2 linked regions of the Solanum lycopersicum genome follow. The protein of the gene in region 2 binds, or shares a complex with, the protein of the main gene of each other region. Links are inferred from orthologs where the notes say so. Each region holds a gene or a part of one and is shown on either strand. Other genes may lie near its edges.

The links.
Region 1: the proteins of NAGK (region 2) and PIIGLB1 are in contact, whole or in part, in a crystal structure (PDB 2RD5), measured with the Arabidopsis thaliana proteins. The link is inferred for Solanum lycopersicum from reciprocal best matches to the Arabidopsis thaliana genes NAGK and GLB1. Residues at the interface, in NP_191315.1 of Arabidopsis thaliana: Arg195, Glu208, Val209, Ala210, Arg211, Val212, Glu251, Ala254, Ala255, Ile286, Lys287, Lys290, Ile310, Arg311, Ala314, Gln315, Gly316, Gly347; in NP_192099.1 of Arabidopsis thaliana: Arg82, Trp84, Arg85, Gln88, Arg118, His119, Gly120, Gly121, Ser122, Glu123, Glu153, Thr157, Glu159.

The regions. Positions count from the first base shown.
Region 1 is NC_090805.1:3,347,357-3,352,732, reverse strand, and holds the start of PIIGLB1 (PII-like protein), read right to left. Parts: upstream 3,407-5,376; 5' UTR 3,294-3,406; coding exon 3,104-3,293; intron 2,992-3,103; coding exon 2,946-2,991; intron 2,844-2,945; coding exon 2,816-2,843; intron 1,971-2,815; coding exon 1,883-1,970; intron 1,777-1,882; coding exon 1,709-1,776; intron 1,501-1,708; coding exon 1,431-1,500; intron 239-1,430; coding exon 203-238; intron 58-202; coding exon 1-57. UniProt on the Arabidopsis thaliana protein: Participates in sensing carbon and organic nitrogen status and regulates some steps of primary carbon and nitrogen metabolism.
Region 2 is NC_090810.1:1,052,158-1,057,566, forward strand, and holds the start of NAGK (acetylglutamate kinase), read left to right. Parts: upstream 1-2,072; 5' UTR 2,073-2,181; intron 2,182-4,089; 5' UTR 4,090-4,203; coding exon 4,204-5,247; 3' UTR 5,248-5,409. Other genes in the region: protein NODULATION SIGNALING PATHWAY 2-like, read left to right, coding at 1-163. UniProt on the Arabidopsis thaliana protein: Involved in the arginine biosynthetic pathway via the intermediate compound ornithine.

The DNA.
Region 1 (5,376 bases), on a different chromosome or scaffold from region 2:
CAGAGGACATATCAGCATGCCCTCCCATCATCCTCTCTGCCTTTTCTCCCCGTTCACCTGTTCCAGCATACCATAGAATCATTACAAGGGACAAGTTCAAACCTCTATGAAGGATATGAAATTTAAATGATTAATCAACCTACGGAGACTATCTAACTTATAAATACAAATGGAGTATCATTAAGCAAAACATTCTACTTACCAGTGCGAACTCTTATAACATCGGAGATGGGAGTCACTGCCAAAGTTTTTAAAAAAAACAGCATCAACAATTCAGTACATTTTGTAATATTTTCATAAAGACAATAATGTCTAGCACATCATTTAACAGCCAATAGATGGCCCAACTTTAACAGCCACTTTGAAACTTCAGGGTCTCTTTCACTCGTTTAAGATTTTCTTTGCAAGGAAAAACATGTCATGCTTAAACGTTAGCAAGATCAAAACTATGTAATGTGATTGCGCTAATATTACCCAAGAGATCCCTTGCAAAATAGAGGCTTGGCCAAAAGTAAAGGATCCCTCCCAAATACATACATGTGAACTAATTACCACTGGAAACTGTGTTTTATGCTCTTCAATAAATTTCTTCTGAATACATACCTGTATCTTTTTTAGTTTTAATACTAAAGAAAAAAATATGTCCATTAACAAACCACTTGCTAATACAAATATGGCCATTAACTTGAGCACACAATAAGCTCTTGTAGCATCAGACAACCTGTGTGATGATCCACTCCAGGCTTGGCTCGACATTTTGGTAGAATAAATGAAATTAAGATCAAAGATAGGCTTCTAACATGAGAAACATACTCACAAAATAAAAGGCCTTGAGAGGAAAACATTGAAGAGTGTGTGTGTGTCGATAAATTATAAATGTATGTATCTTTATAAGCTAGAACTGGAATCATGTTTTCTCACAAGACGTTTAAATATTTAAGAAAATAAGCATCAAAGCAAAGGAGAGCTCAACAAATTTGGGCTTCAATTAAACTATTGTGAACAATGTCACTGATGGATTTTCTTGTCTGATAAAATAGAAGGTAAAAAGATCAAAAAGTTTGAAATTCCTACAGCTTTTTATCTTATTTTAAAATTTTGGGATAGTATCTCTATTTGTTTCTTCTCGTATACATATATGGATTGTCATTGCAAGCACGTATTAAAAGGCTGGCTGGCATTGGTTTTCCCACTTCATGTGCAACACACTTAGATTACTCAGGCAAACATTTGCTTGGAAACAACACAGTAAATTAAAGATTAATAGATTATGATTTATGTGTTACACCTTACCCTGTACAGAAGATATGTCATGAATCATCATATGAAAATATACAGCATACTCATTGAGGAAACATTAACTGAATGCTTTCAAGCTTGGTTAGAGATATTACATCAAAAACTCCAAGATCATGAAGAGAAAAACTTACAGAATATCTTTCCATCACCTATTTCACCAGTTCTTGCCTCTTCAATTATCTTGGCAATGACTCCTTCAACCTAATAAGACAGCATTACAGGTTATATCAGAACTAACATCTAAAAAGCACAATCATATCGCAAGGAGCACCACTTAGATAAAACTTCTATATACATAGGAGAGATAAATGACACCTTAACCATATACTTCTATAATCATATACTTCTAACACATGATTTTAAATGATAGCTCACAGAAAGCTTGGTCAAGGCCTATTAAATTCAAAACCTGGTCTTTGCTGACAACAATTTCCATTTTAACTTTTGCAACAAACGTGTCTTCAGAGAATTCAGAGCCTGAAAGCAGCAGATAACTTCAAAACCCAAGGAAGAATCTCTTTTTAATCGAGAAATATTCAAGACAATGTAAATAAACACTTAAAATTGATGAATATTTCCATACCAGCTTGCCTCTCAGTCAAGCCACCTTGGGCGCCAAAACCACGAACATCCGAAACAGTGACACCACGAATGCCCATTTTCAGTAGTGCCTTCATAATTCAGAAAACATGAGTAAATAATGGAGCCTTTTAGCTTCAAACATTAGATGTTTTGAAATATCTACAGAAAATGGCTCCCTTCAATCTAGTTGTGAAATGGAGTTCAATAGTCATCACAGAATCTGGGCTTCACTTCACCATATTGTTAAATGTTGTAGTGTTTCAGGAGGAATATTTTTTTTTCTTTTGTATGAATGTGTGTGGATGACGCCTGGGGCGTTTTACCTCATTTCACTCCAACCTCTAAATTCAATATATCGAACCCCTTAGTGTGCCTTCCGTGCTAGATATTATTAGGACATCCTGATCTAAAGTCCGTTTACCCTCAAACTTTTTTCAACTTATCCATGACAATACTTCTTAGTATCAAAAAATAAGAAATTGTTTCTGAAAGCTTAATAGCAACTCAATACTGTCCTATCAAAAGGATTATCCATAGGGTAATTATATGACAATATAGCAAAGAAAAAGGTATACACATATTAAGATCTATGGAGATATAAGACTGTATAACAAGAAAGAACCAAGGTGAAATTCAAACTTATCAGTAGAGCAAGCTAGCAGCATTTCAATTAACCCTTTGGCTCTTTACAACTTTGATCACCACTGAGATTAAAGCTGTGCTGTAAAAGTATTTTCCACAATATATAGGCTTTACTATGATGTCATAGAATGCAAAATAGGGGTTGAGTAAAAAGAAACCCAAAAAAGTTCAATAAAGAGCCTCAATTTAAGCAATCATATAGGCCTGCAACCTTAAGGATCACAAAAGGAAAAGATTCAATTTTTTTTTTCTAAAAACTGGCGCATGCATATGAAAATAATCAAGTTCTTACCGAAGAAACCTGTTGAATTCTCCAAGGTCTAAGTCCATTCCAAAATTTGCAGAAGACGCAAAATTGAATCAGTAAACAGAGTATAGAAAGCAGATTAGAATACATTAGTAAAGAAAAATGATGCTATCACCTTAGAATTGCTTCAACTTTGTAAAACTTCGCATCAGGGACGAAATCTGAAAACACAAAACCGACCCATTACTTCTATAAGCAACAAAAGAAGAAAAAAACATTGACCCGTTACTAAATAAGTGAACTTATGAAGTGGGGTTTAAGCAAAATTGAAACCTGGAGAGTTTTGGGCTCTGATAATCGGGAAAGAAGGAGCATTTTGACAGCGTTTGAAGGTGAGCTGCGAAGGGAAGAATTTGGGTTGAACAACGGTGATGGAAGTGAAATGAGGGAACTGTGACAAGGATGGAGAAGAAGAGAAGGAGTGAAGGGAGAAATTGGATTTTGAAAGTGAGGGAGAAGCCATTGGCGTTGAGTTGCAGAAGAGAGAGCTGATAATCGATGAGTTCTATGGCCTTAAAAATAGTGAAGTGAAGTGAAGTAACGCCATTTCTGAATAATTTGGATTCTTTACCTTTTCTCTTGTTATTATCGATGGAAAAAATGTACAAGTACAAAAGGAAAATGATTAAAGTGATACTTCTAAAAAAGAAAAAATAAGTCTTGTTTAAAAACGGTTTAAAATTGAATCGAAATTAATAATTGAAATTGAAAAAATAATATTAATTTATAAATAATGGATTAATGATTTAGTGAAAATTGAATGATGGATTCTTAACTGTTTGAGATTGCGAACACCTCGTAATTCAACTCTAAGGATATAAATCATTCGTCATAATTAAGTATACAAGCGTTTTAAAGTCCATTCCTAAGTGTGAAAGGTGAATCAACAGTGGTTTAGACTAAGTTTTAATAGTTTTCCTTCCGACTAAGTTTGCACATCTGTTCAGGCAAGAGTTAACGTCAAATGACCATATTTATCGGCATATGAAGAGTTAGATGTTCTATTACTTATCAAGTTAAAGACTTATGAGTGTTCTTTCAACCGCCATCCAGATTTAGTCAAAAGTTATTATCATTTTATTTTCATCACATATTCTATTTTAAAGATGCGTTTCGTCGGCGATGAACAATTCTAAACCAACAAAATGCCGGTCTAGAACTAGTTGAGTAAGATTTAAGAGATTTTCTATTTTGAACATATGTTTTTTGGCTTTGAACAATGTTGTGTAGCCGTTTCACCGGTTGAAATGTTGTTGGATGATAGAAAATTATTTAAGTCGATTTTAGCTCAATTTTCCTCATTTTTTACCATTCTTTCGAGCCCTAAAACTGGTTTCTTCCTGTCATCCTCGTCCACCAAAGTTAAGTCTTTTCTCGTGGAATTCAAGCTTTCCAACTCAAATTCCTCCATCTATTCATGAATTATTGATAAAAAAATTTAATCTTTGGTCACAAGATTTTCAAGAAGAGAGCTCAAGAATCTCAAGAAAATGTTACTTGATTACTCTTTTTCATGTTAGGATTCTTTGCCAGGATATATTAAACGTTAAGATAGGTAAGATCGTCATTTATGAGGAAGTAAATCATTCCTCGTGTCCTACATCTTTTGTTTTAATCTGTAACATCAAAGTAAGGTTTTTACTCTATGATCAATAATTTTCGAATTTACTCTATATTCTTATTGTAGAATTTAACTTTGTTATATAGAAATTTCATTTCTTCACATTTTATTAATGATCTTTGATTGTTGATTCATACTTAATATGCTACATAAACCCTTTAGTTGGTAAAAGTTATTGAAGCCATTATCATATTGATTTCTTATGCATTGTACCCTTTAGTTGGTAAGAGTTATTGAAGTCATTATCATATTGATTTCTTATGCATTGTTTTCATGAGTAAATTAAATTTCAAATTTTAAAGCATTATTTTGGAAGAGCTTCAAGAGCATGTATTTGTTTCAAATGCATTATTTTCGGAAAGAAAAACATAATTAGCCGTAAAGAGAGCATATTTTAATTTCGAGGAGGTGAAGTGAGTTCGCATAAAGCATAATTTTTAAAAGCATCTGTCAGTTACAAAGAAACATTTTTGAGTATTAACTCAACATAGAGAGTCTTAGCAAAGTGGAACATTTTCCTTAACTGGGACATCTACAATTATTGAGCATTATTACATAATTTTGGAAATACCAATGAGCATCGAGTTGGATAAGAATTTTGATAACTCAAATTTCATAACTGTGCCGCTAGAGCATGATTGGATCGTGTCGTTGGTTGGGACAAATCATTCGGAAAGCCCTGATAAGGGCTAATAAGATATTGGATTCATGGTTCAGCTTATCCTTATTCTGACAAAGTATAAGATGACGCTGAAAACATGAGTAAGACATTATATCATCATAGACTCATGTGATAGTTGCCGGTTAGAGACACTCCCCAACAAAAGTATTAATCAATTTCAACATTTGCTACTATTGTATACATTTTCAGTTGTTAAGCTTGATTATTAGAGTAAATGTGCATATTTTACTTTTCTGTTGGTTA
Region 2 (5,409 bases):
GAGACAAGCCAAGCATTTGGTGAGTTTGTTTAGTGGAGGGTATTGGGTGCAAAATGAACAAAGCAAATTGGCTTTGTGTTGGAAATCAAGGCCTTTGACAAGTGCTTCCATTTGGGTTCCTATATCATCAACTTCTAGTCCTTCAAGCTCAATATCTTTTTAAAAAAATTTGTAATATAAATTTTGGAACATTATATTTCATGGGAATTAATTAGATTTGGAGGTTATTGAAATATTACAATGTAAATATAGTGAAGTTTTAGTTTTGGGAAAGGTTGAGTAAATGAGATTGTATTTCTTTCATTATTTCTTAGTGGGTTGTTAGCACATTTCAATTTATTTTTCTTATTTTTACTTGAAAAAAAAATACAATAATAACAAAAATAAATCTTGTGAAATTCATGAGTTGGAAATTGGAGACGGTGAGACAATGCACATCTTATCTCTTACCTTTGTAGAGCAGAAAGATTGTTTCCGATTGATAATCCTTCGACTCAAAAGAGAAGTACTATTCGAAGTATGGTCGCAAGATAATAAACAACAAATGGAGAAAGTAATTTTAATTTCTTTTTACTAATTAAACATGCGAGAATTATAAAATATTTTTCTCTATACCGCACACATCCTTTATACTACTGTTTATTTGCTTACATGTATCTACCATTCATGAGGTGTGTTACGAAGATCCGATTCCTCTTCATTTTTAACTTGTTATTATCTCATGTACAACTGAGCAACAATTGTCATATTAAAATTTTAAGGTCTAAATAAAATTAATTCAACAAGAACTTGGATGTTTCCCTTAAATCAATAATTACAAAAAAATGTAGTTTGAATATAAACATTTACCACTTAAATCATGATTAACAGGATTTTATTGATCCACATTGGGCTAAAATTTGATGGGCTTAGTTCATTTAAAACATGGGCTGGGCCAATAGGATCCTCATCTTGGAGAAAGCTAAACGGGCTAACTGCGAAGTGCACAGATATATCACACACATATGTATCACTACGTATGTATACATAAAATCAGTTAAATGCGGACACTTTTTCTTCAAAAAGTTATATCGGGTAGATAGATTATTTCTTTTTAGGGCAACTTTCACATATAGCAAACAAAAAATTTATATTTGTATAATATAGCAAACTTTGCATAATTGCGCTCCATAGCAAACATAAAAACTGTATAATTCGCTATACATATACAAGTGTACAATTCGCTGGCCTAAATTATATAATTCACTGGCCTATTTCGTTGCAATTGTATAATTTGTTTTGCATATAGTTGAATCGAATTAAAATGTATGTATATTGCATAATTATAAGTTTATAGCAAAAAGATATATGTTTTTCTCACTTTATACAAAAACAGAAACACAATATATACACTTCTGTTGTATAAAGCTAGAGAAAATTGTATTTCACTGCAATTGTATAATTCGCAATTGTATAATTCATTGGCCTTTTTCTCTGCAATTTTTGAAGTAAAATGTTTGTATATTGTATAATTAAGTGTATAACACGAAGATATACATTTTTGCATGTGTATATACAATTTTCTCTCGCTTTATACAAAACAGAAACAGAATTATACACTTCTGTGTATAAAGCGAGAGAGGCGAGCGAGATTCCTGGGAGAGAGACGCTGGCAAACTTTAGATAATGTTTGCTATGGAGCACAATTAAATCAAACCCTAGTTATTCTATTTAATTTAGGTTATTAGTTTGCTATTTTGTACAATTTTTTCCTTCTTTTTATGTATATACATATTACATCTCGAGATCGCTCGACTTCTTCATTAAAATTGTGTGGTGTGTATCGTGATATATATTTTTTATATATAAAGGAGTTAGAAAGAATGTCTTTATTCCTAGTTAGGTGGGTATTTGGTGTTTATTTGTTACATAATTATTTCTCATGTGCTATATATATGCCATATTTTTTGTGTAGTACATATTTTATAAAATAGGAAAATTATTGGACAACTTTTTAAACATGAAGGACTATTTTGTATATATTTTTCCCACATGTTTCTCATTTATCTCTTTTTCTAATAATTTTATACACCACCTACTACTACTTGCGAATAATAAAATCTGTCCATCGGAGAAAATTGAGCTACCGGCCGCCGCCTCCTCCTCCTCTCTCTCTCACTGCCGAGCACACACTGTTTCCAGGTACATTAACAGGATAATTGTCTTGATTCTTCTGAAAGTTATTTTTAGGGATTTGCGCCTAATCGTTAAATATAGATATGCGGATTTCAATGTATTTGAACTGATATATGTTCAGTTTTAATTATATGAAATGTCTCTGGTTCTATTGCTATGACCTGTTTGATAAAATGCCAATTAGAGACTGATTAAGCCAGTATATGCTAAGTTCTGTTGTGAATTTTGAATTACATATGAGTTGTTTTAATCTATTGGGTTAGTAGCTTCTTTGTTCGAGTTTCGAGGATAATAAGCTTGGAAAACATAATCAGTTATGGTATGTATAGCTTGGGCAGTAGAGGTAGGTGAAGGGGATTTGCTCAAAGTTACCTTCTTTTGTCATTCTTGTGAACTATTGTTTCAACAAATATGCCCGCTATTGCAATTTGGAAACAAATGAAGCCAAAAACTGTTTTCAGTCCCAAAATTCGATGAGCTCGACACTTGTAGAGAAGAAACATGCTTGGACGCATTTGTGGGTTGTAGCAAGCTGTTTGGTAGATGAGTCAAGGTGCACCCAAACTGGCATGAACACCACCCTTAAACCAATATTTAGAGAGTTCGAAAGAAGAACAATCTAATACTCTTACTCATAACTCCCCCCTTGTTTCTGAAAAGAGAATGGATCTCCTTTCCTACTATGTTGTTAACTTCTTTTAACCAAACAAGAAACAAAAAGTTCTCTTTTACATCTTTCCCAATCACCTTCTTTAGATTACTTTCTCCATTACATATCTTACATTCAACTATACCTTTCTCTTTTCCCGTCTTCCTTCCCTATTCCACAACAAAGCATAAGGTGTAAGAAATTAAGATTAAACTAAATGGTTAAAATGTATATCACCTAAAAATTCAACATTGAACTACTTCGATAAGAAACTTTGATTCACATTACTCATAAGATAGCACCAACATTCTTAAGACATGCTAACGCATAAAAAATACTTTTGTCCAGGCAAATGACTTAAGAGTACTTGAGTAAACCACATAAACTCGAGGTAAGGGTCATCAGATGATACTCTCTGTAGGGATAAGGGAACTGGTGCACCGACCATTTTAAATGCGTCAGTTCCCCAAGAGAATTTCATAAACTGAATATGAAGATTTTTGAGGAAGGAGAATTTAGATGGTTTTGGAGACAAATGACACCGACACTAGTTGTACGGACTTTTCAAAAATGTTATTATATCCATGTCGCATCTTCTAAGATAACATTACCATTGAAGGATCAAACACGTACCCATCGACAATTTTAAAAAATCCGAAGAATACATGATCCTAGTAATTGTTAGTGAGATCCCTTTTAGATTTGGTTCAATTAAATGTCTTCTTCTTCTTCTGGAATTTATTTTTAGGGATTTGCGCCTAATCGCCAAATATAGATAAGGGAATTTTAATGTATTTGAATGGATTGTTTAAGTTTCTGATTGACAGTTATATGTTCAGTTTTATTGTATGAAATGTCTCTGATTCTACTGCTATTACTTGTTTGATGAAATGCCAATTAGAGACCGATTTAGCCAGTATATGACAGGTCTTGTTGTGAATTTTGAATTACAATATGAGTTGTTTTAATCTATTGAGTTAGTACTAGTTGCTTATTTATTTGTGCTCCCTCTGTTTTAGTTTGTTTATGTTACTTTTCTTTTTATAACTTAGTAACAATTAAGAAACTTTGCTCTTATTGATGAACCCAGAGGGTTTCATTGGTACTTTTTGAATTTTATTCAAGTATCTTATGTCTCTAATTTGATTATTTCTTCCCAATTATGTTTTGGGGCTATCTCAGATATGCTGGTATTCAAGTGTATGTTTCTTATGTGGGATACTTTTGAGGTTCAAGTGCTAACTGATGGCTTATTCTGGTTGCAGGTTTCTTTGATGCATTGACCCCCATTAAACGAACGGTCTTTAAGAACTTATAGTGTTACACTTCCCCTGCTATTTAGACTCAATAGAGAAGGGGAGGAAGTAAAGGAATAGAGGATGTTGGCTGCTAAAACCTTCTCACTCTCTTCCCCAGTTAGCAAAGTCTCCAACTCTCCAGATTCCAGTCTCATTTTTCCAAAATCCATTCCAGCTATCAAAGCCAATCGAAACATTCTTAGCAACCCTTTTCAGGCCTCATGCCTCAAAACTTCCTTGGAATCCGTCATTGCACCTGATGTTCAATCTTACCCGGGAGCAACCCGAGTGAAAATCCTTTCTGAAGCACTACCATTTATTCAAAAATTTCGAGGCAAGACTATTGTAGTGAAATATGGAGGAGCTGCTATGAAATCTGAGGCACTTCAGGCGTCTGTTATTGCTGATCTTGTCCTTCTTTCTTGTGTTGGTATGCGCATTGTCTTTGTCCACGGGGGTGGTCCTGAAATCAACCAATGGCTAGGTAAATTGGGTATCAAACCCAACTTTTTGAATGGCCTTCGTGTCACTGATGCCTCAACCATGGAGATTGTATCAATGGTCTTGGTGGGTAAAGTCAACAAACATTTGGTTTCCTTGATTAACAAGGCTGGGGCAACTGCAGTGGGGTTATCAGGAATTGACGGCCACCTTTTAACTGCACGTCCTTCCCCCAACTCTGAACAACTTGGTTTTGTTGGGGACATTGCTAGTGTGGACCCTAGTGTACTGCGGCCTCTCATTGACAATTACCATATCCCAGTGATCGCATCTGTTGCAGCTGATAAGACGGGTCAATCCTACAATATTAATGCAGACACAGCAGCAGGTGAGTTGGCAGCCGCTCTTGGAGCTGAAAAGCTACTCTTGTTGACAGATGTGGCTGGAATTCTAGAAGACCGTAATGATCCTGGGAGTTTGGTGAAGCAGATCGACATAAAAGGAGTGAAGAAGATGACAGATGATGGCAAGATTGCCGGTGGGATGATCCCCAAGGTGAATTGTTGTGTCAGGTCTTTAGCTCAAGGGGTGAAGACTGCAAGTATTATCGATGGAAGGCTGCAGCATTCCTTACTTCTTGAGATTCTCACTGATGAAGGGGCTGGAACAATGATCACTGGCTAGATAAACACTATTGCGAGTTGATCAACTATTTTAGTAAGTTTAAAATGGTTTAGCTAGATAAGCTTTCTCAAAGCTCTAGAACCTTAATGGTTCTCTCTTATCAATATGTTGTCACTCTGCTACAAAATTTTGCTAGACAGACTGAAACTTTTGTCTGGCTTT